Notamacropus eugenii: one gene and its partners. The protein of the gene in region 3 purifies or fractionates together with the protein of the main gene of each other region. This does not show direct contact. Links are inferred from orthologs where the notes say so. Each region holds a gene or a part of one and is shown on either strand. Other genes may lie near its edges.

Region 1 (10,273 bases), on a different chromosome or scaffold from region 3:
ATGTCTTCAATCACAACCTGGCCCAAATCAAGAAGCCTCAGTTCAGACTGTCTTTTGGAACACTTGGTAGTTTCTCTTGCTCATTTTAATACCTTATTTCTCACCGAAAATCCAATCAAATGGTCACTAGGAGTGTCTGGTTTTTGGCAAGGGGAGTTTACTATCAGAATTGCAGTAATTAAAGACATTACATAGAGTTCATTCAGATATGAAGCTTCATCAATGAGCTTGAACTTCTGCTAGCTTTTCAATTTAAAATGTCCTTCCCAGGGTCAAAGATATTTGGTCCCAGAAGTTATCCTGGCCAAATGTTTTCACAAAGGTTTGAAACTGGGTCTTAAACATCTTGGGCTCCTTGGAAGAATTTTTTTTCCAATTAGCTAGGACACAGACCAAATCAGTGTCTTTAGAAGAAATGGGCTGACCAGATCCCATATTTTGAAATATTGGGTTTTTAATCAGGAATAACTGGACCAAAAATCTGGAGGATCCAAGAGCTAAATTATTTTGGAACCAAATTTTTGCCACATCATAGTTCACTGAACCCTTCAAAATAAAATTTTTTATGTCACACCAAAGAAAAGCTTTGTTGTTGGTAGCTGCAACACTATGAAACAGATAATTAAGCAGTAAGAATGGGATCCCCAGGTTATTTCTGACCTATCTGCCATATGACATTGAGGTCTATGCCAGATGTGTACTCTTAAATTCCAAGATAAGCAGCAAAATCACACCAAAAAAGGGATCTCTGCAGTGTTTTGAGCAGACCAGGGCCACTGAACTAGACCCAGTGGTCAAACCAGAAATCAAGCTGCCAAGAATTCCTATCCAGGACCAGGAGCACAGCCAAAGGAGTGAAACCCGAACCATGCCAACCCTAGCAAGCTCAAGAACTTGAGCCTCAGAACCAGAGGTTAAAACCTAAGTTTTCTTCTGCATAAGCGCAGGTGCAGAGCTCAGCAAAGTAAGTCAGAACCCTGGTTAGGGCTCTGACCAAGCTTATGGAGTTTACCAGTGTGCCAGAAAGACCAAGAACGTGTCCTCCCAACTCACGCATTAACCAAGAGGAGGAGAAATACTTTTCCCGAGAAAAACGCAGGGAAATTCTTTCCCAAGGTTAGGCTGCTGGGATTTACTCTCCCAGGTTCCATTTCTAAGCCAAAAGCTGCGGGCCGTTCCAGGAAGGAAGCCTGGCTGAGCCATCCCTAAATGGTCACATTCCATGGGGCGTCCCCCAAAACAAGACTAACACAGCATAAGTGGACGTGGGGTGGGTGGGGGGGGTGCCTCCCTTCCCCTCCCCCACCCCAACCTGCCCAAATGTAGGCACAGCTGAGCAGGAGCTCCCCCAACATGTTGCCTTAGGGGAGGAGGGTCCCCAACAAGGACTGGCGCCAGGGCTTCCTGGGAACAGGGTGAGGAGCAAAGGGCCATGGTAGTTGGTCGAAGACTGTGACTGTGCCCTTTGGCTGGGGTCGGGGTGGGGGGTGTCCTCAGGCTCCACAGGGCATGCATGTGCTGGAGCCCACCTGCAGCCCCCACCCCCACCCCCACCCCCAGGCTTCAGGAGAGGGACAGGTGTGTGTGGACAGGTGTAGGCCCTGATGGGTGGGCTATGAGAAGATGGGGGTTATAGGGGAGAGAGGACCAGTTCGGATAGTTTGGGCTAGAGTGCTAAAGGCCTAAATTAGGGTGGGGCCATGGGGGTGGAGAGAAGGGGCCACCTCTAAGACATGTGGATGGAGAAATGGCCCCATGGAGCTTGACTGTGAGGTTGCCAACAGGGGTAACTTGGGAGTCTGGGGGGGCCTTAGACACTAAGAGGACAATCTGTGCTGCGGAACTAGAGGAGAGAGACCAGGGCAAGCAATCATCACAGAGAAAAAGAAGTCCTAGGAAGCGCTTTGGGGGACTCCAGGGCCATCCAGTACGCCAAGGGTGGGGACCCAGCCACCCCATGTGTCCCTCTAGCTCCTCAGGTGCAGCCACAGAACAAATCCCCTTCCTAAAAGATTTGTTCTGTAAATTTTGGTCTCAATCAAAAGGCCGCACCTGAGGACCTAGAAGGATACATGTGGCTTTCCCAAGCCCTGCATTAGCTCATACTGTCTTTTAATGCTTTCCTTTGATACTCACTTGTTTTTAGTGGGGTCTGACTCTCCATGATGCCATTTGGGGTTTTCTTGGCAGAAATACAAGAGTAGTTTGCCATTTCCTTCTCCCATGCATTGTACAAATGAGTAACTGAGGCAAACAGGGTGAAGTTGATGGGGAGCTTGGGTCCCAATTTAAAATCACATTTCTCTCTAGCCTCAAAACCATCCCAGGCAGTTTGTCCCCAGCCCAGGGACACAACCTTTATTTCCCTTCCTGCTATGGTAGCCAGATGCATGTATAGAACTTATTAGTTTGAACCAACTGTGTCCTGGGTCATAAAAACATTTACCACTTACTGACCAATCATAGGTATCCTAGACTTAGACATATGTATACTCCCTTTCATGTATCTTGTCTAACAAGATGTTGATGAGAGAAACCTGGTGTTCTGTAGTCAGTCCTGACCTTTAGTTGACTTAGTGACTTTTCAGGTCTAAAACAACACCTCCATGTAGCTGCTCTCCCCCACCTCCCACCTTGGGCTATTTGCTGATGAACTCTGGGTAAAGTAGCTGTGCAGTAAGTAGATACTAGAAGTGCATGTTCCTTTAAGAACTAACCACGCCATAATCCCGCCCTGAGTTACCTAGTTAGCATGTTTGGCACATATTTTACTATTGAATATCCAATATAAACATTACCTGTACCCCTCTAAGGTTGCAGATTCCCTAAGAACTCTTGCCCTCTGAACAGTGTAATAAATCTTTACTTCAACCTCAATAATGCTTGAGTCCACGAATTCATCCCAGGCAACCTGCCCCTGGTACTCTGATCTTTTCGGGGGTCTCATACCCTACCTTCCAGCCCTCATCAAAGTGACTTGCCCAGGGTCACATAGCTAGGAAGTGTGTGAAGCCAAATTTGAACTCAAGTCTTTCTAACTCCAGAGCTGGAGCTCAATCCATTGTACCATGTAGCTGCCCCTAATACTTTCTTATTAGCATCCAAATTAGCAACTCTTCTTTCTTTAAAAAACACACAATACCTTTTTGTTTTTTATCTTGTACTACCCTTCCTTCAACCTGGAACAATTTAATAGGTATCCCCAAGGATAAATGTTACCTTGTGCCGTCAGTCTTAGACATTCAGGTGGGGCCCAGGTTAAATAAATGAGATCTTTACCCAAAGTGCTTGTCAAATTTTCCATCGGTCAGTCTATATGTATTTATTATACACCTACCATATGCTAGGCACTGTACTTAGCACTGGGGATACAAAGAAAGGCAAAAGACAGTCCTTGCCCTCAAGGAGTTCCCTATCTAGTGGGGGAGACAACATGCCAACAACTCTGTATAAACCAAGTGTAGGCAGGATAAATAAGAAATCTCAGAGGCAAGGCACTGGAATGAAAGGGGTACAGAAGGCTTCCCGGAGCAGGGGAAAGTCAGTAGGAGATGAGGAGGAAGTGCCTTCTAGACGTGGGAGACAGCCAGAGAAAGTGCCTGGAGCTGAGGGATGGAGGGGCCTCTTCATGGAATGTCCAGGAGGCCAGAGTCATTAGATGAAAGAGGAAGACTGGGTGCCAGACACTAAATGTATTGAGGGAGGGTGAATATAAAAGTTTTAAATAGGAAAGAGAACACAGAAAAATATTTTTAAAAATTGATTATGACTAAGTGAGATACCTAGGGTTCAACATTAGGAAAACCATCGTCATAATGAATTACTTTGCTGTTGAGTCATGTCCAACTCTTTGTGACCCCATTTGGGTTTTTCTTGGCAAAGATATTGGAGTGCTTTACTATTTCCTTCTCCAGTGTGCCCCCATTTTACAGATGAGGAACCGAGGCAAATAGGGCTAAGTGACTTGCTCAGGGTCACACAGCTAGTAAGAGTCCAAGGCCAGATCTAAATAAAAAGAAGATGAATCTTTCTGACTCCAGGCCCAGGGCTTTGTCCCTTGCAGTGCCACCCAGCTGCCCCTACGAAACACAAAAAGTATGTAACACAATGCAGAAAAAGTCATTGAGGCAGCTCATTTGTTTGCATATTCCAGGGCTTCGGAGTGGCATGATTTGTCATGTAAAAAGTACAGATGAAATCAAGAACTAGACTTATTTGCAGGCAATCAGGAAGCATTTCTTAGATACCCACTATGTGCCAAGCCGTATGCTAGGTACTTGAAATGCTGACTAAAATGTCACAGCCTTTCTTAAGGAGGGAGATACCATATATGATTATGTACAGAGTAAACACAAGGTGCTTTGGTGAAGGAAGGCACTTGTAATAACAATAGCTAATTTGAAGTTTGCAAAGTGCTTTACATCGATTTAATCCTTACAGCAACCCTAGGAGTTAGGTACTATATTATCCCCATTTTACAGGTGAGGAAACTGAAGCTATGAGACCCTGGACTTATACAGTATCACACAGCTACTAGGTGTCTGAGGTTGGATTTGAACTCAAGTCTTCCTGACTCCCAAATCCAGCACTCTGCATGTGCTCACCTAGTAGATGGGAGCCAAGTAGTTTAGATGTGCAGCTGAATCCTGACAGATGTTATTCAATGAGACAGCTGAGGAACGAATGTATGAGACAAGAAATGCAGTTCCTTGAGCAGGTCCCTGCCTCTCCCCAGGCCTCACTTTCCCCACTGTAAAATACAGGCTTGGACTAGCTGCGTGATCTCTAAGATACTTCCAGGTGCAACATTCAACAAACCTTTCGGCTTCATTCACTGGACATAAAGGCACCCAGCAGGATGCTGGGAAACGCCCACGTGGGGAGGTGAAGGCAGCAGGTGACTGGGAAAGGTGCAGGCCTCTGGGCAGACGTCAGGACAGCTCCAGAGGAGTTACAGCACCTAGAGCTGCAAGGGGACTCTGAGGCCAGGGGGCCAAGCTCCTCATTAACGGAGGAGGACACTCAGAGGCCCAGGGAGGGGAACAGACCCTCAAGGCACACCTCAAATGAGAGCATGCGCATAAAGTGCTTGGTAAACTTGAGAGAGCCATAACACTGGCAACTAATATTATAGGGAAGTTCCTTCCGCGTTCTGAGCCTCAGTTTTCACCAATGATAAAAGAAGATGTTGGGGTCACTGGGCTCCGAGGTTGCAGACCAGGGATCCGAGCTCTAGGAGAAAGAGGGTAAACCGAGGAGGGCAGCCGATCCGATCTGCCCCGCCCCGCCCCGCCTCCGCCCCGCCCCGCCTCCGCCCCGCCTCCACCCCGCCCCTATCCGCCCCGCCCCTCCCCTGCTCCGCCCCTCGCCCTCCCGCCAAAGGAGGCCCGCCTCAGAGCGCGCCTGCGCCTGCGCCTGCGCCCTCCCGGCAGCCAGCGGAGCTCCCCTCCCCGAAGGGTAGAGCCCGCCCCGCCCCGCCCCTGCTCCTCCCCGCCCCTGCTCCGCCCCTCGCCCTCCCGCCAAAGGAGGTCCGCCTCAGAGCGCGCCTGCGCCTGCGCCTGCGCCTGCGCCCTCCCGGCAGCCAGCGGAGCTCCCCTCCCCGAAGGGCAGAGCCCGCCCCGGCCCGCCCCGCTAGGCGCGCCGGCCGACATGCGGCTGGTGAGCTGGAACATTAATGGGATCCGGCGATCGCCTGAGGCCCTGAAGCGCCTGCTCGACTCCCTGGGGGCCGATGTGATCTGCCTGCAGGAGACCCGAGTCACTCGTGAGCATCGAGGCGTGCCCCCCTCCGCCCCGAGCCCCCCTCCCAACCCTGACCCCCGCTCCCACCCCCTCCCGTGGAAAGCCCAGCTCCGCCCCAGGAGGCCCGCCCCCCAGGACAGGACCCCTCCCTTCCATCCCTTCCCTGCCCCCAAAGGGCACCTTCTGCTCCAAAATCGCCTTCCCCCCAGGACCAGCTTGCCCTCTAGAGGACACCCTCCTCCACACACACTGCGCCCCCCCCCCCCCCCCCCCGCCACTTCCTCCCTCCCCATAGAGGATCCCCCTACTCCCCCCTCTTCTAGAAGCGCACTGACACCCCCTCTAGGCTGGCCCTCCCAGGACTCTCTCTCCCCCCAGAGAACTCCTTCCTTCTCTTCCCCAGCCCCCCGGTGCTGACCCTATTCCACAAGGTGCCCCCAACTCCTTCAGATGTTTTCAGGGCTGCCTCTGGGTTGGCTTTAGGGGCTTAGGTCCTCTGGCCCCCCTGCAGGGAGCCCTGCCCACAGGAGCCGATCTCCTCCAACCTGGACTTTCCTTCTCTGTCCCCCAGGGGACCTCCTGGAAGAGCCCTTGGCCATTGTGGAGGGCTACAGCTCCTACTTCAGCTTCAGCCGAGTTCGAAGTGGCTACTCAGGTGTGTGGGAGGGTGGGGGGAGATCTGGGGGACTGGGCAGGCCTGGATGTATATACTTGGACTTTGGGGAACCTAGGTTTTCTACCATAAATGGCTTTAAAAGTTTAATCATTGGAGGGAAACAAAATGTCAGTTGGGGTAATAATCAAAAATCTACGTTGAATTTTTTCTGATCTGAATGACATGACCCTTTTCAGGGATGTTTTTACCCTCTGAAAAATGAGGAACTTTGGACTGAATTTTTTTTTAAGTCCCTTTCCACTTTTGATATTCTGTGACCCAAATCCCTTCCCCGTTCTGGGGCTCACTTTCCCTGTCTGTAGAATTAGAAGATTGAATTAGATTGTCTTTAAGTCTGTGACACAAAGACCCTTTCCTGGGCCTATTTCCTCCCCTGAAATGAAGAGGGTACAACTAGATGATTTTTAAGGCCCCTTTCACCTCCAAATCCTATGGAGGTCCTTGGTTAGAATAGCAGTAGGACAGTATGGCTTATAATAATTCACTTTCCTCCTCAAAACATCTCAGTCGACATGCTTAGACAATAATTGCTAGCTCTTTACAAATATCCTCTCATTTAATCTTCACAACAACCCAGGGAAGTACAGTTAGGGAAACTACGGCACAGAATGGTTCACTGACTTGTTCAGGGTCAAACAGCTAGGAAATGTCTAAGTCTGGATTTGAACTCAGGTCTTCCTTAGTTGAAGTCCAGTCCTATATCTACTTTCCCACCTTGCTAACCTGGGTTTGCCTCCTAGCCCTGCTACCTGGTAGTTACATCATTTGAGAAAAGCTTCTTCCCTTCTCTGGATTTGAATTTCCCTTGTTACAAGATGAAGGGGTTAGATTATCAGGGGTGGGGAACCTGCAGCCTTGAGGCCACATGTGGCCCTCTAGGTCCTCAAGTGCAACCCTCCGTCAAAGTTTGTTTTTGGAGCTATCAATAGTTGCTGTATTAGAAATGAAAACATCTTATTATTATGAAAAGTTTTGACTTCAGGGACTGTCTCAGGTCCTCAGATAACACTTTGAGAATCTCTGGTATGAACTATATAATCCTGGTCAAGAGCTGTCCTTCCTCTGAGCTTCACCTTACCCCTCTATAAAATGGGGATAGTGAATCCTACCTGGCCCACAGGTGTGAGGAAGGAGCTCCATGTGCCTTAAAGCACAAGAGAATAAGACAAAGTCCAGTAATGGATGAGAACAGCTGGTGGTTCTTTCTGTACAGAAAAAAAAAAGGCCCAGCGGTGTGTGGAATGGAAGTGTGTGGAATGCCAAAGAGGGCAGGCTGAAGGCCGAGGACAGAGATTGGAATCCTCATAGCGAATCTAGGTTTACTGTTGTGAGGCCTTGGCCAAGTCCTTTTCCTTCTCTAGCCTAGGATTTCCCATTCCACAAAATTAAGGAGTTGACCTACCACAATGTAAATGGAAAGAACACAAAACAATGAAATCGGAGAAATTCTGACTGGATGTGCCTCCAGAAGAAGCCTCTCCTCCCTCCCTCCCCCACTGCCACAGGTGAGGCCTTGTGGGCACAGAAGGCCCAGAGGGCTTGGAACACGTGTTTGGCCTCCTGCCTCTTCCTCTTTAAATCCCTGGCTTCCCTCAAGACTCAGTTCAAATACTGCTTTCTGCAGGAAACCTTTCCTGATGTCCCGAAGGGCTAGGGAAAGGGACAAACATTTATTAAGCACCTACTGCATGCAGGCACTGGACCAAGGACTTTACGAATATTGTTTACTTTGGTTCTCACAAGTACCCTGAGGGGGAGATACTATTATTTTCCCCATTTTATAGATGAGTAAACTGAGGCAAACAGAGGTGAAGTGAGTTGCCCAGGGTCACAGAGCTAGTAAATATCCGGAGGCAGGATTTGAACTCAGATCTTCCTGACTCCAGTCCTAACACTATTTATCCACTCTGACACCTAGCTGACTCTAGAGTTTTCCTCTCTCAAGATACCTTCTCTCTACTCTGTATGTATCTTGTATGTTTCTCGCACTGGAATAAGGTTCTTGAGGGCTAGGGCTGGTTTTGCCTCTCTCCTCAGCACTCAGCACAGTACAGGATGCCTAGTACTTAATGTTGATTGATTGCCTGCCTCTCCTGCCCCCTTCCTGAGCTCTGCCCCCTCCAAAGACCCCAAATGATGAACTCGGAGCTAATGACTTCCAAGCTTGGAGATCCTGGGGTCCCTTAATCTCTTTTGTCATCCTTTCTGTGTCTGCCTGTTGTTCCCCCACCCCTCCAGGTGTGGCCACCTTCTGTAAAAATAGTGCCACTCCAAGGGCAGCAGAAGAAGGCCTGACCAGCCTACTGACCACTCACCAGGGTGCCGTGGGATCCTACGGGAACACAGACGAGTTCACTGAAGATGAGTTACGGGCTCTGGACAATGAAGGCCGGGCAGTCCTCACTCAGCACCAGATACGGTAAACACTGGCACTTTCCTGACCTGCAGCTGAGGCCTCTTTTCCTTATGCTTCCCTTAGTGGCATCAGGGTCAGTACTAAATACCTGCTACCTCTTGGATTAAATGGGCCATTGTGGGAGGAAGGGAATTGAAGCATTTGATAACTGGTCCTGATGAATAAAAAGCCATCTTCCAAGTTTCATTTCTTTGATGCATCTCAGCAGTGTGGGCTTTCCCTTCACCTGTGCAGATTGCAGCCCATCCTGGACTACTTTTATCCATGATCTCCTCCCATTTCTACACAGGAGGTCCACCCAATGTGCTAGAGACTTTCCACTACATAATATGTCAGAAACCCAGGGGAGCATGCCATCTTGTCAGTGGGTACTGCTCTTTCCTTGGCATACATCTCTCTGCTTATACCATTTCTCCTGTACAATTCTGGGCTGGGATTTTTAAAATATTATTTTCTTTACATTCAGATATAATTTTACAAAATTTTATTGATGTTTTTTGTTTTTCCTTTATAGTAATTTCTCCCTCCCCCAAAAATGTATTATTTATTTATTTTTAGCTTCATTTTTAAAAATTTTGAGTTCTAAATTCTCTCCCTCCCACCCTCCACCACCCATTAAGAAGGCAAGAAATGTGACATCAGTTACACGTGTAAGATCATGCAAAAACATTTCCATAAAATATTAACCATATTGAAAAAAAGTAAGAAAAATGAAGAAAGTGCTTATATTTCAGTCTTCAGTCTTCACTCAGACTCTATCAGTTCTCACTGTAGATGTGGAGAGCATTTTTCATCATGAGTCTTTTGGAATTGTCTTGGATCATTGAGAAGAACTAAGTTATTCATAGTTGATCATCATACGGTATTGCCATTACTATGTGCAGTGTTCTGGCTCTACTCATTTCACTTGCCAGGTTTTTCTGAGAGCATCATGCTTGGCACTTCTTATAGCACAATAGTATTCTATCACAATCGTGTACCACAACTTATTTAGCCATTCCCCAATGGATGAGTATTCCCTCAGTTTCCAATTCTTTGCCACCAGAAAAAGAGCTGCTATAAATATTTTTGTACATACAGGTCCTTTTCCTTTTTCTTTGATCTCTTTGGGATACAACTGGGTGAATGGGTATACACAGTTTTATAGCCTTTGGGCATAATTCCAAATTGTTCTCCACAATGGTTGGATCAGTTTGCAACTCTACCAATAGTGCATTAGTGTCCCAATTTTTCCACAGTCCCTCCAGCATTTATCATTTTCCTTTTCTGTCATATTAGCCAGTCTCATGGGTGTGAAGTGGTATCTCAGAGCTGTTTGAATTTGCTTTTCTCTAATCGGTAGTGATTTAGAGCATTTTTTTGTAAGACTATAGATAGTTTTGATTTCTTCTTTTGAAAACTGCCTGTTTATATCCTTGGACCATTTATCAGTTGGGGAA
Region 2 (10,564 bases), about 400 Mb from region 3:
ATTAAATAGAAGGGGCCTCTCCAAACTGCCACAGGGATCCATGACACCATTATAACTGTCCTAATTGTTTCTTCTGCCTCCAGTCCATCCATCCCTCTGCTGCCCTAGTAATCTTCCTAATGCTCTATTCTGATGATGTCAATCAACCACTCAAAAAACCTTTGGTGCCTCTCCACTGCCAACTAGAGATGAACTCCTAACACTGGTATTTTCTGAGATCCTCCTGAACCTACCTTTCCAGACACATTGAAGATCCCTTTACAGTCACACCCTCAGACCAAATGAGACTGATTCTTATCTCCTCATTGTCATCCTACCCTTTCCTACTGTGACTATGTTCACAATATTCCTCCATGTCTGAAACAGACTCTTCCTCTCCTACCATTCAATCTTCCCTTCCTCCGAGGTACAAATCAAGAACCATCTCCTCCAAGAAACATCTCCTGAAACCCTCTACCCCCAGTGAAAGTGATGTCTCCCTCCTCAAAGTTCTCCTAGTTCTTCACCTGGACTGAGATTTCCTTTGCATTGGATTTACTCACTCTTGTTTTGGTTAGAGTTGTGCCTTGTTCTTTCAAAATTTTTTCATAAACAGTATTTTGTTTTTATCCCACAAGTGACTTTCTTTAAAATGAATAAAAGAGTATAATATTAATTTATTGTTTGTCTGGGTCCCTGAAGTCAGGCCATTGGAGTTGGGCTATATTTTGTATAGTGAAAACTGTACGAATACAGCCCAAGCTTTAAATTAATCCAAGTCTCTACCTAAATGCCACCAATTTTGTTAAAAAAAACCATAGGCATGAACCCTCGCTCTTAATTGTTTAATTTTTTTTAATGAAGTACACAGTACAAAGTGTTTTAAAATCATTACTAAAAGAGTTCTACTTGGCAAACGGAAAAAAAAAATTCAGCTGAATCCCATTTTTAACACTGTTTACCAAGATGTGAATTTGTGCAACCGCTTGGAAGGTTAGGCTTAAGCTATTATGCTAAGTATCCCAATGGTATTAGCTATTTAGATGTACACTAAGAATAGAACGCTCATGCAATGCTCATTTAGTAATCTGGGCAGGGTTATCCAGGGTATCCGTCGGCTGCACTCTATCTAATAAAGTATAAAAAGTTACACATGATAGTAAGTGACAACACTTACCTTGTTCTTTTCATTTTCTAAAATGTCTAATACCTGAGCAACGTGCCCTTCTTCTAAACACTTTTGGCCTGCTAACTGAAAGAGACCAAAATCTTCCTCTTTGAAGTTCTCCTCTTCTAGGATTTGCTTTAGAAACAACAACAAAACCCGACAAGTTAGCATTCATTTACGTGATTATATAATAAATTAAATTATGACTTGATTGTTTAGTCTTGATCTACACCCATAGTACAAACACATGGGCAGAATTAATGACTTTCCTAAACAGTATCCGAATAAACTATCTTAGAATCCAATGTACTAAAATTCAGAAAAACTTAGGAAGCTAGAGAAGCAATGTGTGTCTGGTATCTCCACTATCCTTCTCCCACCCCTGGGAGTATTTATTCATAGTGGGGGCAAAAAAGCAACACTGCTCCAAGAGAAAACCCAAACGTCCAGCCTTGCATACAAAGCATTCTCTGGTACAAACAAATAACAATGTGGAAGGGAGAGGTTTATTTTTGTTCAAAGAAAATTACTTCTGAACAAGTTGTAGTATATGAATGTGATGGAATACTATTGTGCCATAAGAAATGATGAACAGGAAGACTTCAGAGTGGCCTGGAAAGACTTATATGAACTGATGCTGAGTGAAATGAACAGAACCAGGACACAGTAACACAGTAACAGCCACAGTGTGCGATGATTGTTTCTGACAGACTAAGCCCTTCACAGCAATGTAAGGACCTAAAACATTTCCAAAGGACTCATGGAAAATGCCATCCACATCCAGACAAAGAATTATGGAATTGGAAGACAGACTGAAGCAGAATATTTTCTCTTGTGTTATGTTTTGTTTTGTTTTGTTTTTTCTCCCATTCATTTTAATTTATCTATGTAACATGACTAATGTGAAAATGATTTAATAAGAATGTACATGTAGAACCCGTATAAGATTGCATGCCAAAGATTGTATGCCATCTTGGGGAGGGAGAGCAGAGGGAGAGAAAATTTAAGACTCATGGAAGTGATTATTGAAAACTGAAAACAAATAAATTAATTTTTTAAAAAAGAAAGTAAGTAGATCCATTTCTCAAATTTTTTTGAGCTATGTCAGGACTCTCTGGTTTTATGGATGTGGAGTCCCTTCTCTGACACAGATGGCAGCCCCTCTGTTCCTTATTCTAGACCATCTTCATAAGTTGCTATGACTGCAATAAAATAAATTAAAAATTAAAAAAAGAAAATTACTTACACATCTCTTTACTATGGACTGAAGTTCTTCCACAGCCATTCCTGAGTTTTTGACTTTTCTTTCAGTTTTACTGTAGAGAAACACTAAAAAGAAAATAACTGCTCAATTTATATAACCTGCTTTAAGATTTACAAAGGACTTTATATATATATGTATATACACTATAAATATATTTGTTAATTATTTGATTGTTACAACAACTTGTGAGATAGATAGTGGGTTTATTATTATTTCCACTTTATAGGTCAGGAAACTGAGGATGTTGAAGGGTAAGTGATTTGACCATTATCACGTAGTTGAGATAGGAGACTTGACTCCAAATTGAGCATGACTCTATACTCAATGTCAGTGGTGTCAAACTCAAATAGAAATGAATCCCTCCCAGCCAGCCACATTAGAAAACCACAAATTAACATTATTTATATTATATTGTATTTTTCTTTATTTTGTTAAACATTTCCCAATTATATTTTACTCTTTTTCAGCCTCACTCTTGAGTTTTGCAAGAGCCTCTGGCCTTGAGTTTGACTGCTCAGTGCTATATATACCACACTGCAATTAACTGATGAAGATATTTTATTATTATATTAAGGAGTAGGTATATAAATATACTTCTGAATTAAGTATTATTATGAAGAATCTAATAATTTTAAGAGTTTAGTAAAAATCATCGCTGAACTTTAGCAGTCTTTTTATGGAAATATTAAAGATGATAAAACAATAGTTGGTATTTTAAAAAATGAACTTTTCATGTATTTTCTAAGTTTTCCAGTTCCACATTTACATATGCCTACTTTTTTCTGAGATGTCTTTACTTTCCAGAGGAAAGGGTAAGCATTTTGTAATGCAAAAATCACTCCAAATACTGAGAAATCCCAGGTCTAATTCAGAACTCTGGTTCTCTGTTAGCGAACCCATATGGGGTCCTGACACACAGTTTAAGAAGCACTGGGCATCCCTAGTAGAAAATATTTAAGAAGCCCTGCTCTACTGATAGGGACTGGGGGGGAACTCTTTGATCATTCTTGGATTCTACACTTCTACAATTCTATTGGAGATTCCACTATTCTAATGTCACGGGCATCAGAGCATCCCCACTTACAGGGTCATAGTCTAGGTGCAGAAGAGGCCCTAGAAATCCCCTGTGTCAACCTTCTCATCCATCAGCACTGGGATAGCGCTGCTCTGGGATTCTGAAGCCACAGCACTCAATCCAACAAGCCTTCCTTAAGGGATTACGGGGCCTCGGGGCTAAGCTCTGAGGATACTTAGACAAAAAAAAATGCAACTAGCCCTTCAGGGAATCTATCATCACCTACTCTCCTGATCACCCCATCACTCCACCTCAGCATCACCTATACTGACGGCCAATTCCCTCAGTTTACAGAGAGGGAAACTGAGACCGGAGAGCTTTAAGTAATTTCACCCCTTGCTGGGACGGAGGGAAATCGAATGGATAGATGGCTTTTAAAAGAAGCCTCTCCTACTTGTGGGAAGTCAATCAGTCAATCAATCAATCAATCGAGGATCACTGGGAGAAGACAGACCAGAAGCAAGTTCACGAAGCTCCCCCTGCACGTGCTTGGCTGCTGGGCATCGGTGACATTGACCAACTCCTGAAACTGACGCCTGTGAACTAAGTGCCTACTGTGTGCTGGGCCCGAAGAGTGCGCTGAGCAGTGCTCGTCCTCGGGGGCTGGGGGGAGGGGCTCGGAGGCTGTCCCACCGGACGAGCCCCGTCTCCCGGCCTACCCGCTCTCTCCGCTGGGGGCCAGGTGGCTTAGCCGAGATTCAAGCCGCGTGTAGGGCCCCCCTCCACCCCCTAGGCACCCTGGGCTGGGCCGCGGCCTGGATCGAGTCCGGTGACTCCCCAGCTCAGGCCGCGGGCCTGGGGCTAAAGCCCTGCCCCGAGCTCTCCCCAGCAACCAGACCGCCGCCGCAGCCGCCTACCTGCCCCGACCCTCTCCAGGCAGGCCTGGGCCTCCTCCTCCGCTCAGCCTGGCCGAGGCCCCGCCCCTCCCCGCCTCCCGCCCCGCCCTGCCCGGCGCGAGGACCAATGGCGGAAGGACCCAGGCCCCGCCCCGGATCCCGCCCCCATCTGCGCAGCAGGTCTCAGGCTGAGGATAGGAGGAGGAGGAGAAGGAGGAGTCGGTGGCGCTGTCGTCATGGAGGATTGAGGCCCTGCCTCTGACCCCGCCCCCATCCTGCCCCACATCTCACCTCCCACGGCGCAGGGAGGAGGTGGAGCCCTCGGTGAGACAGTCCATGGTTAAGGAGCTGAAGTCCCGCCCTGACCCCGCCCCCTGCCTCACCTCCCAGGCTCTGGAAGGAAGAAGTAGGAGGAGCCTGTGATGTCGTCATGGAGGAGGAGCTAAGGCCCCGCCCCCCGAGCCCATCCCAGGTGGCTCCGGGGAAGGAGGAGGAGCCGGGGGCGGGGCGATCATGGCGGACGAACGGAGGCCCCGCCCCTGACACGCGTCCCGGGCGGCTCTGGGAGAAGGAGGAGGAGCTGCTGCGGCCGACATGGAGGACCAGCCGAAGCCACGGGCCCGTGGCGGCCCCCGGAGCAGGAGCTCCCGAGGCGCTCGCAAAGGCGCGGGTAAGAGCTGGGGCCCAGGGGCCCGTCACGTCACGCCACCCGCGCCGCCCCACGAGGGACTGGGGCGAGGCGCCGAGGTAGAGGGGCCTGCCCCTTGTGGGAGGTGGGGCTAATCAGGCGGCCCGGCTACCCCTCTTCAGGATGGGGATCCCCCCTTAGAAAGAAGGGAACCCCCTTAGAGAGATGAGAACCCCCTTAGAGGATGGGGACCCCCCCTTAGAGAGAAGGGAACCCCCTTAGAGAGATGAGAACCCCCTTAGAGGATGGGGACCCCCTTAGAGAGAAGGGAACCCCCTTAGAGGATGGGGACCCCCGTTAGAGAGAAGGGAATCCCCTTAGCGGATGGGGACCCCCCCCTTAGAGAGAAGGGAACCCCCTTAGAGAGATGAGAACCCCCTTAGAGGATGGGGACCCCCTTAGAGAGAAGGGAACCCCCTTAGAGGATGGGGACCCCCGTTAGAGAGAAGGGAATCCCCTTAGAGGATGGGGACCCCCTTAGAGGATGGGGACCCCCCTTAGAGGATGGGGACCCCCCTTAGAGAGAAGGGAACCCCCTTAGAGAGATGAGAACCCCCTTAGAGGATGGGGACCCCCTTAGAGAGAAGGGAACCCCCTTAGAGAGATGAGAACCCCCTTAGAGGATGGGGACCCCCGTTAGAGAGAAGGGAATCCCCTTAGCGGATGGGGACCCCCTTAGAGGATGGGGACCCCCCTTAGAGAGAAGGGAACCCCCTTAGAGGATGGGGACCCCCCCTTAGAGACAGGGTGATCCAGACCATTTCTCCCCTCTGCCTCTTTAGAAGACTCTGGTCTCCTTAGATTCTTTTTTTAAACATAAATTAAATTATTTGTGTTTAGTCTTCAGCATTCACTTCTATAAGTTTTAAATTTTCTCTCCTTCCCTTCCCCCCTCCCCAAGACAGCTTGCAATCCGATAGAGGGTCTCCATATACATTCTTGTTAAGCGTATTGTCACATCACTCATATTGTATAGAAGAATTAGAACGAATGGAAGGAACCATGAGAAACAAAACAAAACAAAACAAAAATAGAGAAAATCGTCTGCTTCCATCTGCTTTCAGACTCCACAGTTCTTTCTCTGGATGTGGACGGCATTTTCCATCATGAGGCTTTTGGAGTTGTTTTAGGTCCTGGCATTACTGAGAAGAGCTAAGTCAACCAAAGTGGGTCATTGAACAAGGTGGCTGTTACTGTGTGTAACGTTCTCCTGGCTCTCCTCTCCTCACTCAGCATCAGTTCAGTCTTCACAGGTTTTTCTGAAGTCCTCCTGCTCACCATCTCTTATAGCACAATAGCGTTCCATTACATTCATGTACCACAGCTTGTTCATCCATTCCCCAGGTGATGGGTATCCCCTCCATTGCCAGTTCTTGGCCACCACAAAAAGAGCTGAGCTGCTATAAATATTTTTGTGCATGCAAGTCCTTTTCTCATTTTTATGATGTCTTTGGTATACAGCTCTAGAAGTGGTATTGCTGGGTCAAAGGGTATGCACATTTTTATAACCCTTTGAGTGTACTTCCAAATTGCTTTCCGGAATGGTTGGATGAGTTCACAACTTTACCAGCAATGAATTAGTGTTGCAATTTTCCCACATCTTCCCCAGCATTTATAATTTTCCTGTTTTGTCATGTTAGCCAATCTGATGGGTGTGATGTGGTACCTCAGAGTTGTTTTGATTTGCATTTCTCTAATCAATAGTGATTTAGAGCATTTTTTCATTTGACTTTAGCTTTAATTTCTTCCTTGGAAAACTACCTGTTCATATCCTTTGACCATTTATCAATTGGGGAATGACTTGTATTGTTATAAATTTGACTCATTTCTCTATATATTTTAACAATGAGGCCTTTTTCAGAGATACTGGTTGTAAAAATTTTTTCCTAGTTTTCCTAATTTTCTAATTTTTTGTGTCACTCCTGACCTTGGCTACATTGGCTTTCTTTGTGCAAGAACTTTTCAATTTAATGTAATCACAATTATCCATTTTGCACTTTATAATGTTCTCTGTCTCTTGTTGGGTCATAAATTCCACTGTTCTCCATAAGTCTGACAGGTAAACTAAACGTGCTCTCCTAATTTGCTTATATTATCAGACTTTATATCTAAATCATATACCCATTTGGACTTTATTTTGGTATACGGTATAAGATGTTGGTCTATGCCCAGTTTCTGCCATTCTGTTTTCCAGTTTTCCCAGCCGTGTTTGTGAAATAGTGAGCTCTTATCCCAGAAGCTGTGTCTTTGGATTTATCAAACAGTAGATTACTATGGTTCCCCTTAGATTCTAAGGGGAACCTGTAGCCTTGAGGCCACATGTGGCCCTGTAGGTCCTCAGGTGCCACTCTGACTGAATTCAAACTTCACAAAACATTGTTTTCATGTGGCCTCGAGGCCACAGGTTCTCCACCTTGCCTTAGAACATTCACTATCTAAGAGTGACATTCCCACTTTAGAGGACTCTTGCCATTTCCCAAAGGGAATCTAGCCCATTCTCATGCCATCTGCTTTAGAAGATTGTCTGTGTTAAGAGTTTACCCCTGTTCCCTTTGAGAAGCGATCTGAGGAATACTCTGGTATCTTTCTGCCTTCCCTAGTCTGTGAGATTGTAGAATCATAGATCTAGTTCTGTAAGAGCCTCAGAGACCCAGAGTCTAACTCCTTCCATTTGTAGATGACAAAAGAGGCCCAAGTCAGCTCACAGACTCACCCAAAATCGCAGTCACAGTAGTGAGTTCTATCCACCATCTAGGGACCTGTAGAGAGGTGCCTTTGAGGCTAGGAGATTTGGGTGAGAACAGGATCTGTGGATCATCCTGTGTGGGAGTGTAAGAGTGATGGGGCCTTACAGTCTCTCACCCTTTTTCCCTCCTAGGACCTCTACTTCCACTTCTTCCTAACAGGGCATTGCCAAATGAGGAGGTTTTGGGGGAGGATGCCTTGGCTCTGGGTAGGGGCAGCCAGTGGCCCAGAGGATTAGAGCTTTTCATCTTGAGTCAGAATGACCTGTGTGTGTGTTCATCGTTCGTTGCAGAAGAAGATCATGCCATCAGAGAAATAATGACATGACTTGCACTTGACTTTGTTTTGAGTGAGGGAGGGCTGTGCAAGTCACCACCCTCACTTCACCAGAGCCATCTGGGTCTAGTGACCAGATATTCATCAGGATGACTGGAGATGACCCAGGATGAGGCGGTTGGGGTTAAGTGACTTGCCCAAGGTCACACAGCTAGTGAGCATCAAGTGTCTGAGGTGAGATTTGAAAAGGAGCATAGGATGGGAGGATGGGGGGGCACACTGCTGACCCATTCTTGTGAATAGGAAGAAAAAGATGGGCAAGGACCTTTATTCATTTTTTTGAGATTGTTGCAAATTGGCTTAACCAACTGCCCTTTTGCCTGGCCTAGGTGAATTTGGTGAGCCTGAGCTAGAAGTCATTCATACCTAAGAGTAAATCACTTTAACCACAATCACTTAACATCTGATTGTGATCTGCCCTTTTAGGGAATTTGTGCTGGTGTTGTTTTTAGTGAAAAGAGAATTATGGATAGCTTGTGGTAGGGGATCAAATCTAGGGGGAAATGAGTAGGGCTTTGAATCCAATGGTGACCTGAGGTCATTCAGTGATTGTCTTGGATCCGCCAGAAGAGCTAGATGAAGACTTTAGAGACTGGCTATTCCACCTTCTCCAGAAAGATCAAGAGTTATTTATATGGTGCTTTAAGGTTTTCAAAGTGCTTTACAAATATTAACTCAGTTGATCTTCACAACATTGAGGGGGGTGTGTAGGTGGGCATTGGGTGCTGTCATTATTATCAACATTTTGCAGATGAGGAAAGTAAGGCAGGCAGGTTGATGTTCTTGAGTTCAGTTTTGATCTCAGCCCCTCCTAACTGCAGGCCAAGAAAGTCTTCATGAAGGAGACTTTAATTAGACCTTAAAGGATAGTTATGTCTTAGGTGGAAGGAAAGGCATCTTCAGGCAGTGAAAACAGCATTGGAGAGAAAGGCAACAGCTCTAACAGGAGTGAGGTCTTACTGTTGAGTAACAGAAAAATAAAGATAGCTATTTACAGAGTTGGAGGAGATCGGAAAGGCCAGGAAGCATTTTCTCCTTTGCTTGAAGCCCTCTAGTGTGGGAGGAAAAGAGGCCCATTCTTTTTCCGACATCTCAGTATGAGGAGACTTTTCCTTACATCCAGCCTGAAGATTCCTTTCTGCAGCTTTCAGTTGCAAATGTGTTTTCACCCTGCCTCCCCTATGGCCAGGCAAAGCTATCCCTCTTCCATGTGAAGCAGATCTCATTGACCTCCAAGTTCTCTTCTCCAGACTGAATGTTCCTACTTCTTCAGCGGATTCTCCCATGGCACCATCTTGAAGTTATGGTCCTTGTGCCCTCTTTCAGGTTCTCTTCACCTTTGTATCCTTAGCACAGTGACCTTGCACATGAGGAATCCTATTGAGCCTTCAGGTCCCTAAATCCTTTAAATTTTTTTGGATAGCTCTCTAGCCACTTTACTGCAACTTGTGAAGTTGGGTTTTTTTAAATCCAAGTGTAGACTATGCCTCTGTGATCTATTCGCTTCTAATAGTGCACATCCCAACTTATTCACACACTAAGCTCTCTCATCCTCTTGGCTTTGTTCTCCTGTAAATACTCCTTGGGGTATCCACCTAAATTTAAATTCATCCATGTTTATTAACCACCCACTGTGTATGCAGCAGTCACTGTTGGGGAGGAAGACAAAGACAAAATCAGAATGACCCCTCTGTTCCCTGTTCTTCTGTTCTACTGGAAGAATAATGGAGCCCTCCTTTTGTCACATCCCTTGACATTATGTGGCAAAACTCTTCAGGACACAATCTTGAGAGCTGAACTGGATTAAAATGTAATTGGGAAATGTTGAACAAAATCAATAAAAACGCCACACAGCATAATGTGAATGTATGGTTTTCTTAGTCAGTGTTTGACTGACACCACTGGTGTCTGGGAACCCCTTGACCACCAGAGGCTATCCTTAGATTATCCATATTTCAGGGGAGTGGTTATTGTTTTTAAAACCTCGTTTTTGCCCTCCCTTTATGCTAAAATCTTTCTGTCCCTTGTCACAGTAAGCACCCCAATATACACTGGGGGGCCTGCTATCACAGATTCTTAGATCTGCATTCATAAAAGGAACGGCAACTTTGGAGGGGTTAACAATTACTTTAATCAAACATATGTATCATTCAGTTCAGGGGGAAAGTCAGTACCCTGAACTTCAGAGAAAACAGAGAAATCAAAAGTCAGCAGACAGGGCTTCTAAAACTGTCTGACCATTACATACATACACCAACTTCTGGGTTTGGGGTGGGGTGGGGGGCTCCTGTAGGGGGCTTCCCAGTGTGTCTCTGGCCAAAGAAACACTTCCAGTCAGTAATCCCCAAAGTAAAACCTCACCCTGGGTGTATTTATACATTTTTCAGAGGCAGAGGGCATAACCCTCTGACCCAGTGCCTCAGCAAAAAAAAACAAAACCAAAACAAAACCAAAACAAAACTTGGGACCCTCC
Region 3 (10,644 bases):
CCAGTGAACCTGCTCTCCTCCATTACCTGTATTCTGAGCATTTGATTTTCCAGAAGAGAGGAATTGCAGTTGGGTTGGGGTTTTTTGATTTAACCCTTTCTTGACTGCGTTAATTCAGTGAGAAATAACCCTGCCTTGACAGCTTGGTGGTGGGATGCAGAGTCTCTGCTCACAGCCCAGATCTCAAGGGGATTGATTTGCCAACAAAACTAAAGAGCCCTGTAATCTGCTTTCTCCCTGCTGTCTTTCCCAAATCTGGGGTGCTGGAGTGGGAGCCACCATCCTGGGATTTCCCACAAAACTTGGTTGGTGGGGCAGATGGGAAATACAGGATGGGTTGCAAGGATGGGTCACGGCTGGTGTCTGGGACTAGGAATGCCTCTCAGAGTCAGGGATTGGGGGAGTTAGGGACTCAGGTCTGTAATGTGCCCAGCCTCTCTTCTCTGAATCGCAGCCATGTCCTCTTAGGACCCACCTTGCCTATCCTTGGGAAGAGAGCTTTATTCCCATCATCTCCCCAAAGAAGGCAAGATCCAGTGAGATCAGGTTAAGTGTGCTTATAATGTTTATGTGAGCGCAGCCTTGTAAGAACATGCGTGCTTCAGGGATGAGATGGCATTTCTTGTGTGGTGACCCTTAGCGTTCCCCCTCCTCTGGCGGCTCTGGGTGTGTGAATGTGTGGGTGTGTGGGTGTGTGTATGTGTGGTGAGTGTGTGGGGCGTGTTTGAGTGTCAGTGGTTTCTACATCCCTGGGATGCTGACCCAGGAATTCATGGACATGATCACAGTCCTATGTACAGAGCTTTCTTTTGTATTAAAAAAAAAAATACTCTTTCAATAAATGTATCATTTTGTGCACAGAATCTGGGGTTTTGGTTGTTTTTTTCCTAGCAGGAAAGCCACACTCTAGACCTTTCAAATGAAAGGTGCTAGGTACAAGGGGTTGGTTCTGTTTTTTTCCTTTTAAAAATTAATATCCTTTCTTTTTATAGGCCAATTTCCCAGTATATCCCTTCAATTCCCATAGAGCCATCCAGTGTAACAATAAAAAAAGCGGAAGAGAAAAAGACAATACGAATCAAACCACATCAGCCAGGTATGAGATAAATAGTCTTCCATATTCACAGTCCCTTACCTCTGCAAAGAAGGGAAGAAGTACAGTAAATTCTTGTTTCTGTGGCCAAGCTTGGTCATAATTTCCCAATATTAAATTTGTTTTGTTGGCAAAAAAAAGGCTCCAATACTGAGGGAGGCCCTCACGTATCACTTATTACTCCTCTGGAAGAAAATTTTAGGGGTCAGTGGCTGGAATTGAGGTCAATGTAGGTTTCCTGGGTTCAGGGAGCTGGTGGTACAGTGGACAGAGGATCTGAGTTTAAATTTGATCTTAAAGATACTATTTGATCCTAGGCAAGTTAACATAACTGCCTCTATTTCTTTCTACCACTCAGAGTAGATGTAAGGATCAAATGAGAAAATATTTGTAAAAAGTGTTTAGCACAGAGCCTAGTGCATAGTAGGCATTATGTAAATGCCTATTGCCATCTTTTATACTCCCCTGAAGTAGAAGGAGGGAATAGTAAATTTAAGAGGGTAGATTCAGAAGTAGCATTTGGGGGGCAAGTAAGTGTTGGAGAGGACTCTTAAGATTTCTAGGACCAATGAAAGAGTATCTCAGAATGTTTCAAAGGATCCAAGATGAAATGTAGATTGCAACACAGCCATATCTTCCTATCTTGTGATGCTTGTCCCATGGAAGATCTGCTTCAGATGTGACAGACCTTACAACTCTCAAAATATTTAGAGATACGGGTACAGTATATGAGCTGTCCCTTATTCTCACTACAACACTAGCTCACCTTCCTGGTCTTATATGTTCTGATAACATTTTTACACCACTTTTTTTTTTGCACTGAAGTCATCTCTGGTAACATGTTGCAGCCTAATTGGACCCAGTATGTATCTTTCCATTGCCTCTCTGGTCTCCCAGTTCTTTGGAGATTGTAGTATCCAGACTACTGTTTAGGGTCATTGAGAATGGATGAGGACTCAGAAGACCTAGGGTTCAGAAAGTGAATGCAGATAAAGGCTCAGAAATGAAGCCAAACCAGTGAAGATGGGTTCTTCACCCCCCCCCCCCCCCCCCGACCCCCACCTCCCTGCCAGCATACTGGAACCTGAAGGTCTGGACCTGTGATTTAATCTATGTGGGAACTCTCCTCATCAATGCAAACCAGCATATACAGCCTTAGCTACCCAGAGCACTGAAACACGAAGGGAAGAGAAGCATGGTGTCTACAGTATTCCAGTACCATGCTAAGTGTTTTATAAATCTCATTTGATCCTCACAACAATCCTGGGAGGTAGGTGCTGTTATTACCCCCATCTTACAAATGGGAAAACTGAGGCAAATAAGTGAAGTGACTTACTCAAGCTCACACAGTAAGCATTTGAGGTCAGATTTGAACTTGGGTCTTCCTGACTCCAAGCCCAGCTCTCTATCTATCCACTGCACCATTTAGCTGCCTGATTAAATGACTTGACCACTCTCACATAGCTGGTTTTTGTCAGAGACACAATTTGAACCCAGTCAATCAACAATGCATACTATATACCAGGTAGCAGTAATTCCAACTAAACATCTGGCTTCCAGGTTTTTCAAAGCATTGTCTTCCACGGAGATTAATGTGAGACAGGAAGGACCAGTTGTCGTTCAGTCCTATCCAACTCTTTGTGATCCCATTTGGGGTTTTCTTGACAAACCACTGGAGTGGCTTGTCATTTTCTTCTCCAGCTGATTTGACAGATGAGGAAACTGAGGCAGACAGGGTTAAGTGACTTGCCCAAGGTTACTAAGTAAGTATGCTAAATAAGTATCTGAGACCAGATCTGAACTCATGAAGATACATCTTGCTTCAGCTGTGCCAAACAGGCACATGAGAACAATTTGTTCCAACGGCCATGAAAGCAGCTGAAGCAAACGTTATGGAGTACTCAGAGTCTGGTCAAACATCAATAACACCAAAATCATCCACTGCATGCCAGGGCCATCGCCAGTGATCCTGACTTCTGTTCTGCTAATGGATAAGAGTTTACCTACTTTGTACAACTCTATCTCACTCAAATCCAATTCACCAGCAAGTCAAGATATCGCCTGTAACATCATCGATGGGTCCTCTTCAAAAACAAAGAATGAACAACAGCTAAGTACCAGGTACTGTGCTAGTAGATGGGGATCCAAAGACAAAAATGAGAGACTCCTTAAGGAACATTATAGGTGGGAATCAACATGGCACATGTATATGGAAGCAAACAAAATCTATACCAAACATTCGTACATATTCAAAACACACAGTAATGAAGGGGAGAGAAGAGCATTCCCAGTAGGATCTTAAAATGCCTCCCATGGGAAGTGTCACTTGAGCCAGGGATTCTAAGACAGGAAGGTGAGAAAGGAGAGTTCGTTTTAGGTAGATGGTATAGCCTGTGCAAAGGGTCATGTAGGGGAAGTGAAATACCATACATATGGAATGCCAAGAAGGTCAGTTTGGATTGTAGTTTGTGAAGGGGAGAGTAACGAAAGCCTGGAAAGTAAGCTGGATACAGATTTGCAAATGGTTTCGTACCCAAGAGAGGCTTTTGTATTCTATTCCAAAGATGATAGGGATGCCTTCCTGACTCCAAAGTGGCCCTCTATCCACCACACTGTGCTGCCTTTCAGAAATATGTTGCCAAATTTGCTACAACTAAGTTAAAATTCTTGAGTATTGACTTTTAACCAACACAGAAAACAGTTTTGTTAAGGGGTAAGAAATCTCTCTGCTGGAGTTTTAAGCAGCTAATTGGTATTGGTCATCCTGTTTCAGTGCATACAATTTCTCTATTCCAGGATTTTTGCATTAAGATCGATGCAAATCATTGATGTAATTCATCATGAAAAGAAAATGTGTATATAATGAGAAAGTGCTTTACACTGTAATCTGATATTTTTTGGGAAAAGTTATTACATTTAGAACTATTCTGAAGCTGCCAATTAAAAAAAAATTTTGCAGATTTCCAAATAAATGAAGAAAAAAATATGTTGCAAACAACAGAGGCCATATCTTGGAAAATCTTCTGTCCTGGAAACCTGGAATGCTATTTCAAGAAAGCTCCATTGCCTTCTACCCCCATTCCCTTCTGGTTCTGGAATCATGAACCATAATCGAATTAACTCTGGCATTATTCCTGGATGGAATGTGTCAAGATACTCTCCTTACCATCCCTATAATCTTTTCAGACCAAAGTACTCCTTCCTTGGCCACCACCCCCCAAACCCCATATGAGCTGTCTGTCCCATTAAAATGATAGCTCATATCTTCAGGCTTAGCACAATGCTTGGCACATATTCCTTAATCAATGCTTTTTATTCATTTTTTTCCCCCTTGAATAATGTGTCAGAAAATTGGCTGCAAACCAAACAAACCCATGTGTTTGAAGGACAGAGCTTCAGGGAAGAGAATGTCAGAAATAAGTTTCAGGAGAATAAAGATGAAGAAGGACTCTAAAAAAAAAAAAGTCTATAAAGTGAGGATTCCTGAGGTGAGAGAGAAAGGATTCTGTATATAAGGACTCAAAAATAAGGCCCAAAATAAGTGACATGGATGCGAGTGTGTGTCAAATATAAGTTCCAGGAAGAAAGGCTGGATAAGGATTCAGAAATTGTGTCACAGAACTGAGAAGGCCTTAGAACCCAGGACAGAATAGAGCCCAGGGAATAAGGATGAAGAAGGATAAAGAAAAAAAAGTTAACAGAAATAAAAAGGAGGTGGATTTTGGGTTCAAAAATAGGGCCCAGGATTCATACTGTTTGAGTCAGGATTACCACTACTGGGCACATATACTCCAAGAAGGTCAAAGATGGGAAAAAGTCCAATATTGACTAAATTATTCAAAGGATATTCAAAAAAACCCCAAAAAACCAACCCATACAAACAAAAACAAAATAGGAAACACTGGGTGCCAACGGACTGGATGAGGAGATTGAACAAATTGTGGTATAGGCAGACCATGGAATATTATTGCACCAAAAGGAATGATGACGGGAATTTGGAGAAACTTGAGAAGACTCAGGAACTGATGCAAAGAAAGCAGACACATAGTATACATAGTTACACATAGTAACTCCAATGTTAAAGAATGTAACACTAAAAGATAGCAGAATTCAGCGGAAAGATGATGAAACATTTTTTGCGTCAAAGGAAAACTCTATTTCAAGAAAACTCCACGGCCTTCTAGCCCCATTCCCTTCTGGTTCTGGAACCGTGAACCACAGTCAAATGAGCTCTGGCACTGGCCCTAGATGGAACGTGTCAAGATACTCTCATGGCCTCACTTAGCGTCCCTGTCATCTTCCCTGAACGAAGCGCTCCTTCCTGGCCACCCCTCCCCCACATGTACTGTCTTCTCCTTTAGAATGAAAGGAGGCTGGACTCTTTCAGATCTGGTTAAAGTGCTACTTTGTTTCATTTAACCGTCTGGTAGGAGAGGGAGGTCTTCATGTGTCAGGGTGGGTAAAGGTCATGGGGACACGGCAGAAAAAAAATTTAATTCAAATGTTTATTATTTTAAGATTAAACATTCTTAAATTTTAAATAATGGTTGAAAATTTAAAAACAAATTTAAAAAATAATTTAAAATTTAAAAAATTCCTAAAAAATTTAAAAATACTGATTTAGATGGAAAAAAAAAACAAGAAACGAGAGCGCGGATAAGGGCTCAGAAATAGGGACATGGAAGTAAAGTTGGATAAAGGCTCAGGCAGAGGATAGGGGAAGGAGTTCAGCCCAAGTTCCCCGCAGGGCGCTCCTGCCACCTGGGCCACCTGGGAAAAGCGCCCCGCGCCTGGCCCCCGTGACGTCATCGCCTCCCCCGCCGCGAGCCCCCCGGCGCTGGAGTCGCCGCACCAGCCCGGTAGAAGTCGGGAGAGGCTAGGCACCGCCCTATCCGGAGGAGGGCGCTGCGCACGCGCACAGCTCTCCGCCTCCGCTTCGGCGCTACCCACCCTTCTCCCCTCCGAGGCCTTCTGCCTGGCTTCCGTAGAAGCCGGACAGTGAGCGCAGGTGCAGTAGAGGACCCGGAAGTGAGGGTGCCCGCTGACTGAGGCGGCCGGGTCCGGCGGGACCGTCTAGTCGGAGCCGGCAAAGGGGGCGCGCGGGGCGGCGGGAGGTGAGAGGAGCGTGCGCACGGGGTGGGGGTCCCCTGTCTCTCTCCATCCCCTTCCACTTCGAACCCTCCCCCGCCGCCCCAAGCCGCGCGGCCCCAGGAGTCCACTCCCTGTACCAACGGTCACCCCGCCCTGGCCCTCCCCCTCACGCCGTCTCCTCCCCCCACGTACGCCCCCCCGTCCGACCCTCCCCCACAAAGCCTCCCCTTCCCCCTTCAGGCACCTCCTGCCCAAACTCTTTCCCCAGCCCCTCTCGGACCCTCCTCCCTCGCCCGATCACCCTCTCACACGCTTGCTAGCCTGCCCCGGGCGCCCTCCGTGACCCCCGCGGCGCTTTACTCACCCTGGCCATGCCCTCGCCCCGCTGTCCGCCCCCGGACCCGACTCGCCCCGCTTGTTGCCGGCCCCCGGCGCTCCTCGTCTCCGCAGCCTCCCACGTGCTGCGGCCCCCCAGCCATCCTCGAGACCCCCCCACCCTGGTGACCCCCTGTTGTTTGTAGCCCTCCCCCTCACACGTACCCATGACCACCCCCCCCCCGCGGGCATGTGATTCTGCCCTGGCTGGCCTGAAGGGTGGAATGAATGGTGTAGGAGAGGCATGAGAGGACAGCCCTTTGGAAGGAGTTGTCCGAGCGGGCATGGTGAGGGCTGTTCAGTGATGGTCACCTTCCATGTCTGTGCCCCGCACTTCCACACGTCCTGGATTCTGCCACTTTTTGTCCAGGTCTGCGTGCTCTAAAATGTTCCCTTGTGATTATCTTCCTGTATCATCCCCCAGATACTAATTTTGGTTTAGGTACTTACCATTGTGACACCAGGCTGATCTGGCCTGTAACCTCTTCTTTCTACTGAAACTGTTGTTCCTTCCTTTTTTTGATCACTTTTCACTTTCAGTTCTCCCTGAGTCTCTTCTCCAGATTGTACCAACCATCTTCCTTGTCTCTTTTATTTCCAAAATGACCTCTAAAGTCCTTTTAGGCCCTAAATCTATGACCCATCATTTTAGTACTGCTCATCAGTATCATCGTTCTCATCGTGCCTCACTTCACTTCCTTGTCTTCTCAAATCAAATGCCTGCTTTGCCTTCCATACTGTTCTAGTCCTAGTCTCTTCATGTCTGCCATCTGATGTTCTCCTGCAACTTCCATCTATCCCCACAACAGCCCCAGTTCCTTTTGTCTATGTCCCCACCCTGATCACTGGTCCTGGGCTCCTCTTTCCTCTGTCCTAATATGATCAGTGAATTCTGTCCACAACAGAATTCTTCCACATCCAACCTTCTTCCACATCCCATAGATGCTTATTTGACAACGGGTACTTTTTCTCATTCTGCTCCTTTTCCTCCTCTGTTCTAGGTGCCCAGGATGGTGGGAGAACGAAGAAGCAGAGATTTGCTGGTGCCCCTGGGCCCACGACTGCAGGCATACCCTGAAGAACTGCTCCGGCAGCGCCAGGGTCACGATGGGCATCCAGAGTACTTGATCCGTTGGACTGTCCTTCAGCGTGGGAAGGAGGGTGGCATAGGCAGTGGCAGTTCTTCAGAAGGCAAGGCAGAGCATATCCTCATGTGGCTCTCAGCCCCGGAGGTCTATGCCAGCTGTCCCATGCTGCTTGGTGAACGAGCCCCAGCCAAGGGACCGCAGCATGAACCAGTGGGGAGCGCGGGCACCTTTCCCCGGGATGCCGGGGGGCTGGATGAAGCCTCTCTGGGAGAGATGGCCACAGATGTCCGAGGACTGGTGCGTCGAGCTGCCCGGCAGCTGGATGGTGGGGGGGGCTCCAGTCCTGCCGCCTCTGTGCTACACACCATCCACGTGCTCAGCGCCTATGCCAGCATCGGACCCCTTGCTGGTGTCTTCAGGGAGACAGGAGCCTTGGACCTGCTCATGCACATGCTGGGCAACCCTGAGCCACAGATTCGCAGGAGCGCTGGAAAGATGCTACAGGCCTTGGCAGCCCATGATGCTGGTGAGGGCCAGAGGGAAAGAAAAGGGAAGCAGGAAAGGAGGTGGGACAACTTGCAAAAAGAGGATGTCAGGACCTTTTGGTTTCATGAGAGTGAAAGTGATGTCAGCCTATGCCCAGTTGCAGTGAACTTAGAGCTACAGGTTCACACCATTGATGAAAAAGAGATGTGAACAGAAAGAGAGAGTTTCATAGAGTTTCACTCTCTTTCATAGAGTTTAGAACTTGCTGGCCAGATGTCAGTACAGATGGTTATCATATAAGGCATAGTCACTTCTCAGAGCACTTTGGTCCCCCTGTCAGCCCCTTTGATGGGAAAGGACCTGGTTCTGCTGGAGGGTGGAAGAGAGTGAGTGTAAGAGAGGCAGATGATAAGAGTTGAGGAGTGGGCAGAAGGTGATAAGTGGAGTGGGTTCCCTGGGACAGGATGCAGAGCAGGGCTTGTATTTCAGGGAGCAGGGCCCATGTGCTCCTGTCACTGAGCCAGCAGGATGGCATCGAACAGCACATGGACTTTGATAGCCGCTCCACTCTGTTGGAGCTGTTTGCAGAGACCACATCTTCTGAAGAGCACTGCATGGCCTTTGAAGGGATCCACCTGCCCCAGGTAACCTAAGGGAGTCGGGAAAAGGGCTGTGGGCCGAGTTTTTATCTCCCTGTCTGTTGGCAGTAGGGTTAGGAGAAGCAAAGTGGGGAGATGGTTAAACTGAGGCCAGGGTGTTTATCCTGCAGATCCCTGGAAAGCTGCTCTTCTCCTTAGTGAAACGTTACTTGTGTGTCACATCCCTCCTGGACCAGCTAAGTAGCAGCGTGGAGCCAGGGTCTGGGGAGTGGGGGAACCGGTGCTCCCCTAACAAGGCCTCCAGTGTGGAGAAGAGCCGTGGACAGAGGGAATTGGAGTTCAGCATGGCCATGGGCAACCTGATTTCAGAATTGGTTCGGGGTATGGGATGGGACCGGGGCCCAGGGAGGCAGCCTGCATCCCCCCCTCGGCCTGCCCGATCTATCTTTCAGCCCCGATCATCTGTGCCAAGCACCATCCTCCCAACCCTGCTTACCCCTGCCTCCCCAAGGAGGCCAAGCCGGGCCTTCAGACCACGGTCTGAGTTCTCGAGCCTGAGTGGCTATGCTGACTACGTTCAGGAGACATTGCAGCCAGGGATGCGTGTTCGAATGCTGGAGGATTATGAGGAGATCAGTGCTGGGGACCAAGGAGAGTTCCGCCAGAGCAACAATGGAATGCCCCCTGTACAGGTATGTGTGAGTGAGTTGGAGGATAGGTAGAATAGCATCCCTGAGAAAGACAGAAAGTAGGGGAAGGTCAGAGAGTGACTGTATCCCTACCTCACCCTCTGGGGAGGGAGAATGGCCATTTGGAGAAGATTTTATCACTAAGAGAGCAGATAGACGATTCCTGATAAGTGAAAAGGAGACAGAGATGTCTAAGGATACCATTGCCCACATTCTTTTCTCATTTGGCAGAGGAGAGGAATACATGTTTGTGTCCTTTTTGTCTCTTTCCCCCAGCCTCTACTCTAGAGAGAAATTGTCTAAGCCCTGGCTGTATGACTGTCATGGAGTCTCCATGTGGAAGGGGCCTAAAATGCAGGGGCTAGAGTCAAGAAGTTGTTATTTTTGTTGTTTGGGTGTTTCAATCCAGTCTTTCTCTTCATGACCCCATGTGGGGTTTTCTTGGCAAAGATAAGTGGAGTGGTTTGCCATTTCCTTCTCCAGCTCATTTGGCAGATGAGGAAACTGAGGCAAGGGGGGGTGAAGTGACTTGACCAGGGTCACTCAACTAGTAAGTGCTGGAGGCTGGATTTGAATTCATGAAGATAAGTCTTCCTGATTCTAAGCTCAGGGCCCTATCTACTGTGCTGCCTGTCTGCCCAGCTCCCTCTTTTCTGAAGTCAGGAAGACCTGAGTTCAAATCCAGCTTTAGACACTCACTAGCTGTGTGACCCTGGGCAAGTCACTTAACCTCTTTTCTCAGTTTCCTCATCTATAAGATAGGGATAAATAATAGCCTGTACCTCTCAGAGCTTTTGAGAGGACTTACATGAAGTAATAATTGTGAAGCATTTAGTATAGTGCTTGGCACATAGGAAGTTTTATATAAATGTTAGTTATTATCATGATCATTAATTATTATGTGACCCAGGTCTAGGCCTCCAGCTGAGGTTGTTCCCCGGACTCAGGTGACTGAACTTTCTCCCTCCCCTCTTCATGCCCCAGGTGCTGTGGCAGTCAACAGGCCGCACATACTGGGTACACTGGCACATGGTGGAGATTTTGGGTCCTGTAACTGAGGACAAAGTTGCTGCTGAGCCAGAGAAAGGAACAGGGGGCAGTGGGTCCCAAGCCCCAGGTATAGGTGAGCTTGGGGAGGAAATCACATAGGTTCCTTGAGAAGTGGTACATGGGGGCTTGTCTGGGTAGAGCTACCATGACCAAAGAGAGATGCTGCCTCTGAC

Evidence for each region.
Region 1: the proteins of CUL9 (region 3) and APEX2 purify together in Homo sapiens (affinity purification with mass spectrometry; 3 studies listed by BioGRID and IntAct, counting the BioPlex papers as one, with this or other methods). This does not show direct contact. The link is inferred for Notamacropus eugenii from reciprocal best matches to the Homo sapiens genes CUL9 and APEX2.
Region 2: the proteins of CUL9 (region 3) and GLMN purify together in Homo sapiens (affinity purification with mass spectrometry; 3 studies listed by BioGRID and IntAct, counting the BioPlex papers as one, with this or other methods). This does not show direct contact. The link is inferred for Notamacropus eugenii from reciprocal best matches to the Homo sapiens genes CUL9 and GLMN.

Annotation. Positions count from the first base shown.
Region 1 is NC_092879.1:98,121,918-98,132,190, reverse strand, and holds the start of APEX2 (DNA-(apurinic or apyrimidinic site) endonuclease 2), read left to right. Parts: upstream 1-5,547; 5' UTR 5,548-5,649; coding exon 5,650-5,764; intron 5,765-6,313; coding exon 6,314-6,397; intron 6,398-7,779; exon of another isoform or gene 7,780-7,874; coding exon of another isoform or gene 7,875-7,923; intron 7,924-8,656; coding exon 8,657-8,837; intron 8,838-10,273. UniProt on the Homo sapiens protein: Functions as a weak apurinic/apyrimidinic (AP) endodeoxyribonuclease in the DNA base excision repair (BER) pathway of DNA lesions induced by oxidative and alkylating agents.
Region 2 is NC_092873.1:503,847,631-503,858,194, forward strand, and holds the start of GLMN (glomulin), read right to left. Parts: upstream 4,727-10,564; 5' UTR 4,706-4,726; intron 4,449-4,705; exon of another isoform or gene 4,344-4,448; intron 2,477-4,343; 5' UTR 2,433-2,476; coding exon 2,394-2,432; intron 1,283-2,393; coding exon 1,157-1,282; intron 1-1,156. Other genes in the region: putative RNA polymerase II subunit B1 CTD phosphatase RPAP2, read left to right, coding at 4,917-4,992.
Region 3 is NC_092873.1:106,086,223-106,096,866, forward strand, and holds the start of CUL9 (cullin-9), read left to right. Parts: upstream 1-6,787; 5' UTR 6,788-6,803; coding exon 6,804-6,929; intron 6,930-7,560; coding exon 7,561-8,173; intron 8,174-8,622; coding exon 8,623-8,777; intron 8,778-8,902; coding exon 8,903-9,424; intron 9,425-10,405; coding exon 10,406-10,544; intron 10,545-10,644. UniProt on the Homo sapiens protein: Core component of a Cul9-RING ubiquitin-protein ligase complex composed of CUL9 and RBX1. The CUL9-RBX1 complex mediates ubiquitination and subsequent degradation of BIRC5 and is required to maintain microtubule dynamics and genome integrity.